2 linked regions of the Macaca fascicularis genome follow. The protein of the gene in region 1 purifies or fractionates together with the protein of each later gene. This does not show direct contact. Links are inferred from orthologs where the notes say so. Each region holds a gene or a part of one and is shown on either strand. Other genes may lie near its edges.

Evidence for each region. The genes of interacting proteins can lie anywhere in the genome.
Region 2: the proteins of ERLIN2 (region 1) and INSIG1 purify together in Homo sapiens (affinity purification with western blotting; 4 studies listed by BioGRID and IntAct, with this or other methods). This does not show direct contact. The link is inferred for Macaca fascicularis from reciprocal best matches to the Homo sapiens genes ERLIN2 and INSIG1.

The regions. Positions count from the first base shown.
Region 1 is NC_088382.1:41,109,821-41,114,116, reverse strand, and holds the start of ERLIN2 (erlin-2), read right to left. Parts: upstream 2,797-4,296; 5' UTR 2,333-2,796; exon of another isoform or gene 2,217-2,332; coding exon of another isoform or gene 2,176-2,216; exon of another isoform or gene 2,021-2,175; intron 1,688-2,020; 5' UTR 1,673-1,687; coding exon 1,566-1,672; intron 1-1,565. Other genes in the region: uncharacterized protein, read left to right, coding at 2,176-2,216, 2,797-3,301. UniProt on the Homo sapiens protein: Component of the ERLIN1/ERLIN2 complex which mediates the endoplasmic reticulum-associated degradation (ERAD) of inositol 1,4,5-trisphosphate receptors (IP3Rs) such as ITPR1.
Region 2 is NC_088377.1:196,596,942-196,600,441, reverse strand, and holds part of INSIG1 (insulin-induced gene 1 protein), read right to left. Parts: intron 2,777-3,500; coding exon 2,652-2,776; intron 2,186-2,651; coding exon 2,019-2,185; intron 1,690-2,018; coding exon 1,590-1,689; intron 1-1,589. UniProt on the Homo sapiens protein: Oxysterol-binding protein that mediates feedback control of cholesterol synthesis by controlling both endoplasmic reticulum to Golgi transport of SCAP and degradation of HMGCR.

The sequences.
Region 1 (4,296 bases):
AAAAATACAAAAATTAGCCAGGCATGGTGGCAGGTGCCTGTAATCCCAGCTACTTGGTAGGCTGAGGCAGAGAATTGCTTGAACCCAGGAGGCGAAGGTTGCAGCGAGCTGATATCTTGCCACTGCACTCTAGCCTGGGCAACAGAGCCAGGCTGAGTCTCAGAAAAAAAAAAAAAAGAAGATGAAGTCTGTTTTACTTTGTCATATCTGTTGGGCTTGTGGTAATCCATAAGGGCAGTTAAGTCCAGTAATGTGGTTATCAACTACCTGCACTAATGCTGGAGTCCACTGACATGACCAACCAAAAGAATAATTTGAAGTACTTTATAAGTAATTGAAATATATGTTTTGGCAATAGAGTTACCTTTCTAATCAAGTTATATGTAAATGATAAAGTTAAAAGCCTTTTTGGGGAACATGTAAGCAGATCATGGGGAGAAAGAATTAAAGGAGAGAGGAATTCCAGAGTTTTAGAACTTGCTGTTATCAATCCAGAAATAAGCATCACAACAGCACATATAAGAAGAGTTCACAAAGACATAAAGCAAAAAACTTGGTCATGGAGATTATTAAAAAGAAAGCAACCCGACTTATAAGTGCTTCTTTGCTTTATATTATGCAAAGAATTAAAAAAAACCAATAAAACAAACAGTGACATAATGGGCTCCTAAATTTATTGTAGGAACCACTATCCTAAGGCTTGCTTTGACTGACATAAGTCAACCTGCAGGCTCTTTCATTTTTCGTGAAATGTTAATATTATTTTAATTTAGTTTTAGAGACAGGGTTTTGCTCTGTCACCCAGGCTGGAGTGCAGTGGTGTGATCACTGCAGCCTCAAACTCCTGGGCTCAAGTGATCCTCCCACTTCAGCCTCTCCAATAACTGGGATTACAGGCACATGCCACCATGCTCAGCTAATTTTTTACTTTTTGTAGAGATGGGCTCTCACTATGTTGCTCAGGCTGGTCTCAATCTCCTGGGCTCAGGTGATCCTCTCACCTTAGTCTCCTGAGTAACTAGGACTACGTGTGCGTGACACAGAGTCGGCTAATTAATTTTTTTATTTTTATTTTTTAGAGATAGGGTCTCACATATTACCCAGGCTGGCTGAAATGTTAATTTCAAAAGAGTATCCTAAATTAGCAGAGTAGGCTACCTTCTCAAGTTGCCATCAAGAACTGGGACTCAGCTGGCTTTTGTAAAGGTAACCTAGCAGTGTAGAGCTAAGACTGCCAGAGGGATGTAGGAGAAAACAGTATTTTAGGGATGATCTGTGAGGAGCACCAGTTTCCTTTAGATTTTGCCTCTAAATCTATATAAACATTTATTAATCACCACCCATGGCATCATCTTGGACTACTAAGCGAAGTTCTAAATTTACATATATGTGTGTGTGTGTATTCTCTTTTCCATGGTTACTGACATAAAAAGCTCAATCTGAAAAGACTCCCCTGTTCAAGGAAATATAAACAGAGATGTTCAGCAGTATCTGCTAGGAAAGCAGTGACCAGGAAAGGGAGCTATTTAACAGAAGTTGCCGACTTTGCCCTGTCTCTGTCTTACCTGTAATATACCCCAATATGTCCCTCTTCTATCTTGTGCACAGCTGAGAAGAGAGATGCACACAAGAAACTGGAAGCCACAGCCACAACTGCTCCCAACTGAGCCATCAGTGAGCCTTTATCCTAGGGAAAAGACACGGGAAAATGTGTGTGGTCCAACGTGCAGGAGAAAAGGCCGCAACAGCCAGAGGACCTCACCAAGCTGAGCTCCCTGCGAGTGACTCATATTCAGCCTGGTGTCGTGTGAACACAAGGCTAGATCTACAACTCGCTTCCTCCTCGTTCTCAGTCAACGTTCCCCTTTCCTCAACTGTGAAATCAGGGCCCCCACCGCACTGAGGAAGCACTGGCTCCGGATACAGCCGTTGCTCAAGGGAGAACCCGTGCCAGCTGGGTAGGGTTCAGAACACAGCCTCATCTTCCTGTGAACACGAATGTGCTGTCACTGAATCTTTCATACTAGTAGTAGGGAAGAGAGGCAGCTGCAGTACTTTGGCCCAAATTACAGAGGATGCCAAATGACAGGCAGTTGTGGCTATGTAATTCTGGTCAGAGCCTCCCACTCCTAATTGCCTGCAGTTTCAAGGGAAACCATTATTTACTCCTTTCAGATGCTGGAGTGGCAGAGCCAGCAGGCGAGCCGAGTTTCAAGGTAGGATTCGCTGGCCTCGCATCCACCTTCCCAGTTATTCCTTTGGCCCTAAACAGGACAGGGCTCTGAACAAGCCTGAAGCCACACTCCCCCCGATATACTTTGGCACTTTGCACCTGACAGATCCCCAAGCCCGTGGTCAGAGACAAAGGCAATGTCCAAAACTGCGAGCCTCTGGGCTCCTGGGTCCAACCGCGTTCAGGCACCAGGACGCGGAGGAGTTGGATCCTGAACACTGAATGATCTGGAACTATGGTGACTGACTGCAAAGTTCAGCTGTGCGTGCGTGGGCCCGTGAACGCAGGGCGTGGATTCTGCCTCCCAGGTCTAACGTAACCCGGGCGCGGACATCTGCGAGGCGCTTATTTTACCGTGGCGGCCTCCGGCTACCGATCTGCAGTTGCGTCCTTTCCTGCCAGTGCCCTTCCCTCCCCGAAGTCACTCGCGCCCCTTCCCCGCCCCGTTCCGAGAGAGGGTCAAGCGCCCTGGGCTGGGACTGCGGCTCCAATAGCCTCCGCTCCGTCCCCCTGCGGCTCTCAAGGAAGGGACGCGACAGAAAAGGGTTTCTGTGTCTCTCCAGGAGCGGGCCGGCGGAGGGAGAGAAGCTGCTGGGACTGAGGCTCCCGAGGGTGATGGGTCAGCCCCGAACCGGAGCTGCAGCTAGGCCCAGCGCGCGCACGAAGGGGCGGGGGCCGCGTACCAGGCTGTCCCTGCAGGCGCTCCGTACTCGTCCGAGCCCACGAGCAAGAAAACCGTCACACCCCTCAGCACGCGACTTCCTTCTGGGCCGTCGCTTCGATGACGCCATCAGTTCACGCGAGAAGACCACACCCCCGCCCCGCGCTCGCTCTGCGCCCCGCCCCTCGCGCTTCCAGCGGTCAATGGCCGCAGCTGGCCGCCAGGGATCGCCCGCGGCTTGGTCCGTGCGGTCCTGTACCTCTGTTTCGGGTGTCCGGCCTGGGGCTGGGGATGAGGGCGGTGTAGGTGGGAGCGCCCCGAGAGCGAGCGGCAGGACGCGCGTGACCCGGAGTACTGAGACCCAGGGCGTCCTTTTCCAAGGCGTTGACTTTGGGGATTGCTTCTGATTTCCCTCTGCATTAGGCCGAACCTGGTTCGTTTTGGTTTTTTTTAGAGACAGGGTCTCGCTCTTTTGCCCAGGCTGGAGTGCAGTGGCACGATCATGGCTCACTACAGCCTCGAACTCCTGGACTCAAGCGATCCTCCCATCTCAGCCTCCTGAGTAGCTGGGACAACAGGTGTGCGCCAGGACACTTGACAATTTTATTTTTAGTAAAGACAGGGTCTCGGTATGTCTGGTCTCAAACTCTGGCTTCAAGCAATCCTCCTGCCTCGGCCTCCCAAACTGCTGAGATTACAGGTGTGAGCCACCATGCGCTGCCTTTTTTTTTTTCCCGCCTTGATAAACTACTAGCGAGTTGTAACTGTTTTCCTATAGCACAGCTGAAATGAAACAATCTTTTCAGTGTACAGATTAGCATCATTACCTCACTAATCAAAAATCCCTACCTTGAGTTCTTTATATTTTTCTGGGAGCTTTGGCCATTGCGACCCTGCAACACCACAAAGTATATTAACAAGGAATTATTCTAATTTTAATGAACGGAATCTAAGAAGTTCAGCGAGGTTCAAGGGTAAAAGCCAAGGAAAGCTTCCTTTGTGTTTCCTTAATATCTTGAGTTCATTGCTTTTTTAACTCCTGCCACAGTGCACAGCGGCTTGTGCACTTCGTCTTTCTAGATAAACTGTATGTTCCCGGGAGAGCAGAGACTGACTTTCCTTCCGCACCCCCGGGCCTTAGGTGCCCAGTAAATACAGACTGAAGGCAAACGTGGGACCAGGCCTGGAATCCAGACTTTGTGTCTCCTAGGCTAAGGGCCTCACGTTTTCCTCAACCTGCCCTACTCACCAACATCACATTGGGGCATTTCTAATTCAGCCACTGAAGTTATTAGTTATTTTGTTTGCAGAAAAGAAAGAGTCCACTTAATTATAGCCTTCAGTAAAAGAAAAACTTTTACACCGGGAAGATGGCAAGCCGGTGGTGTTAGACAGATTTAAG
Region 2 (3,500 bases), on another chromosome or scaffold:
GAGTTGCCTAGCTCTCGTTTGAAGACTATAACAGGAATGATGGCGAATGCACGAAAACAATGTAGTATTTTCATGTGGGACCATTCGACCAGATTTTTAATATTAAAAAAAAAACAAGGCCAGGCTCACGCCTAAAATCCCAGTGCTTTGGGAGGCTAAGGTGGGAGGATCGCTTGAGCCCACGAGTTCGAGCCTGGTCTGGACAACACAGGGAGATAACATCTCCACAAAAAATAAAAAAGTTAGCCAGGCAAGGTTTCATGTGCCTGTAATCCCAGCTACTCAGGAGGCTGAAGCGGGAGGACTGCTTGAGCCCAGGAGTTCAAGGTTATAGTGAGCTATGATGGTACCACTGTACTCCAGCCTGGGTGACACAGTGAGCTCTGTCTTCAAAAAAAAAATAAAAAAAAAATAAAATAAAATAAAAAAAAAAAAGGCAAGCAAAGTCCTTTCTTCTCCATCATGAGAAATTTGGCAGCACAGACTCAGTAACCAGTGGAACACTGCAAATTCTACTTGTAATTACTTCTGTTTTTGTGAAACAGCCAAGTGGCCTTCAAATTCAACTCCTCACAGAGGTATCAGCTGGCAAAAATAAATGTACTGTTTTAAAAATAGCATGAGGTGCCCAGATAAGTCTTCCGAGAAAGTCCCAGAGCTTATCTCCGAGAGGAACAGCTCTAGGTTTTTTTTAATTCACTTTATTTCAGCCTGCCAGTCAAAGTCAACTCAAAATAACATTTAAAAGTTCACCTCTAGTTTTTTAAATTAAAGTGCTAAGATGCCAATTTTTAACTAATTAAGAACTGCTAAAGCCATCCTGGAGTTCATCTACCTTTCCATCTCCCTCAGGGGGGCTGTGAGAGAAGCTCTGTGGGGTAGAGCTGCTTTCTCCTGCAGTAAGAACAGGTGCAATGTTCAGGCAGGACAGTCCATCTACACGGTGACCCGGCCACGTGCAGTGGTGCTCTCATCACCACTCCTCCATGCCCAGGGCCACCTGCCCCACAGAAGGGTGTTGCCTGTCTGAACCAGGCTGTCCCCTTACCCGCCCACACCAGGCCCTGCCCTGGCCCAAGACAGACTCTGGAGCCTCAGGCTCGATTTGCTTGACTGTGGACTAAGAGGCCAGCATCATCTGCATCCACTCTGATTTTGTGAAAAGCAACACCGGCGGACTGATGCTCAGGGAGCAAAGTGTCACTGCACGAGGTCATCCAGATCTGCTTCTGACGGCGAAGGAGGAGGGGACACTCACACACCAGTCACTTTCTTTACTGCTTACTACACAAATTTCAAGAATTCAGAACACCGACCACATCTGCAATTCAAAGGGGCAGTGGGAGGGCTCTAGTTCCTTTCTAAATCAAATATTATGAATTTATGAATCTACAAATCTTTATAATTTAGCAAAGAATTACCTGGGTATCATTACCTATTTTTTAAAATACAACCTTTTCTCAGTAATTGTCACTCAAGTCTGAACCGGAACATATAAACACAAAATTGAATGTATCATGTAAAGTAATTCTATCAAGGTAAAGAGACGCAAGTTTTAGAAGATAATATAATATGATCATTTCACTCACCATAGCTAACTGTCGTCCTATGTTCCCCACTGTGACGCCTCCTGAGAAAAATATACAAGGGAGCCAAGAACGAATATAGAGGAAATCTGGGGATGTATACCTGGAGCAAGAAAAGAAACCGTGCCTTAGCAGCCAGTTTCACCTGGCTCAATTCTGCATCAAACATTCTCTGTAGTGGGGATATGCAGAATGCATATCAACCACGAAATGCTACAAAACGTTCATATTTGAATGTTTGGTTGTAACTGCTACTACTTGGTTTTCCTTTGCATTAAGTTATGGATAGCAGCGTTTTTTAGAATTTTGTACCTAAATCTAGATCATTCTATATAAAAACCAAATAAAATATGAAACTATCTAAGCTTTGTGGATGTTTTAATGAAAGTTAAGCAAGCTTTCCAAAGCCAATATTTGAAAACACATACTTACTGATAGACACCATTATACACGAGAAACTGCGTGATCAGCGTAGCTAGAAAAGCTATGGTGATCCCCAACCCAAGGCCGCTTCTGGAACGATCAAATGTCCACCAAAGCCCCAAAGACAGGGCTGCTAAAGTCAAGGACAGTTGGACGTTATTGGCAAAATCCAATTTCTGGTGATGTAAAAGTTAAGGAAAAGTCTGCTGATTCTTAATAAGATCAAAAACACAAAGAAAACCACAAGGGTCAAAAACATGGGTATTTTATACAAATAATTCACTGTCCATAAAAACTGTGTAATGAGCTAAAGAAAGGATTTGTTGGATACAGGCTACAGTAATCACCAAGATCACCTGAAATCTCCCTGGCATCATTGACTCAAAAACTTAACCATAAGAATAAACTTGCTGAAAGCTATATATAAAATGCCGCTAGCATTTTGACCATAAAACAATATATTTTACTATGAAGTCATCGACAGCCCCATTCTTCTTTCTCTTTTTAGTAATTTGAAATGGGCAGGTACCACCATCATGTTTGTATTACGACATGGAGTCATTTGAATATATAACAAAACAAAACGCTTCAATATATAACCTAAGAAGATACTCTGGACATAGCACAGAAAATTCAGGATACAGCACTGGCATGGTTAATGCCAACAAAAACTGCTATGCAGCGCATGACACTGGCCCACTCTCTCTTAAATTTGTGGGGTTCTCCGAGGTGACTGTCGATACAGGGGTACAGCAGGCCAACAACAGCTGTTTTAAAAAAAAGATGACAATGTTAGAATACAGCAGATTTAAGTTCCACAACTTCAGTGTGGTCATTAGTAACACAAGACATTACTCAAACCAGTCCTTTTCCTAGAAAAAATTATCAGCTATAACATAATAGTTAAGAGTGATTTTATATTCTTGTTCTCTTTGAGTACCACTCCCACAAAATTGTACTGTTTAGAAAGTTTTTAAAAAATCACTATTATTTAGTGCAGTTGAACATGCCTCAGTAAACACAGAAAGGAATCAAGCAGGGATTATTCATATTAACATGAGCAATATGTAACCTTGTATTTAATATCCACATTTGCCTAAAGTACACAGAACTTAAATGACTATGTAGTTCACCTTATCTTTTCATCCAGTGTGATTTCGATCTTACAATAAAAAGGTTAGCATCTGTCCACACCCTGTCACATCATAGCTCTGACACTCCTGCCACCACCCAGCACTGGGACTGGGCACATGATGAGATACATATTTGCTGATGTGACTTTGATAGTCTGGGTCACATGCTCCTAGGGTGGCCCTGGAGTTGATTTTCGGGGGTTCTAGCATGTACTGTACTGGGCACTGAGCACTGTGCACACATGCCCGTGGGCAAGTACGGGGCGAGAGCGCCCCACGCGGGCTTCTCCTATTCTCCATCTGGTTCCTGCACGGTCACGCCTCAAGCTGTGGTAAGAATACCTGACCAAGAAGAGGA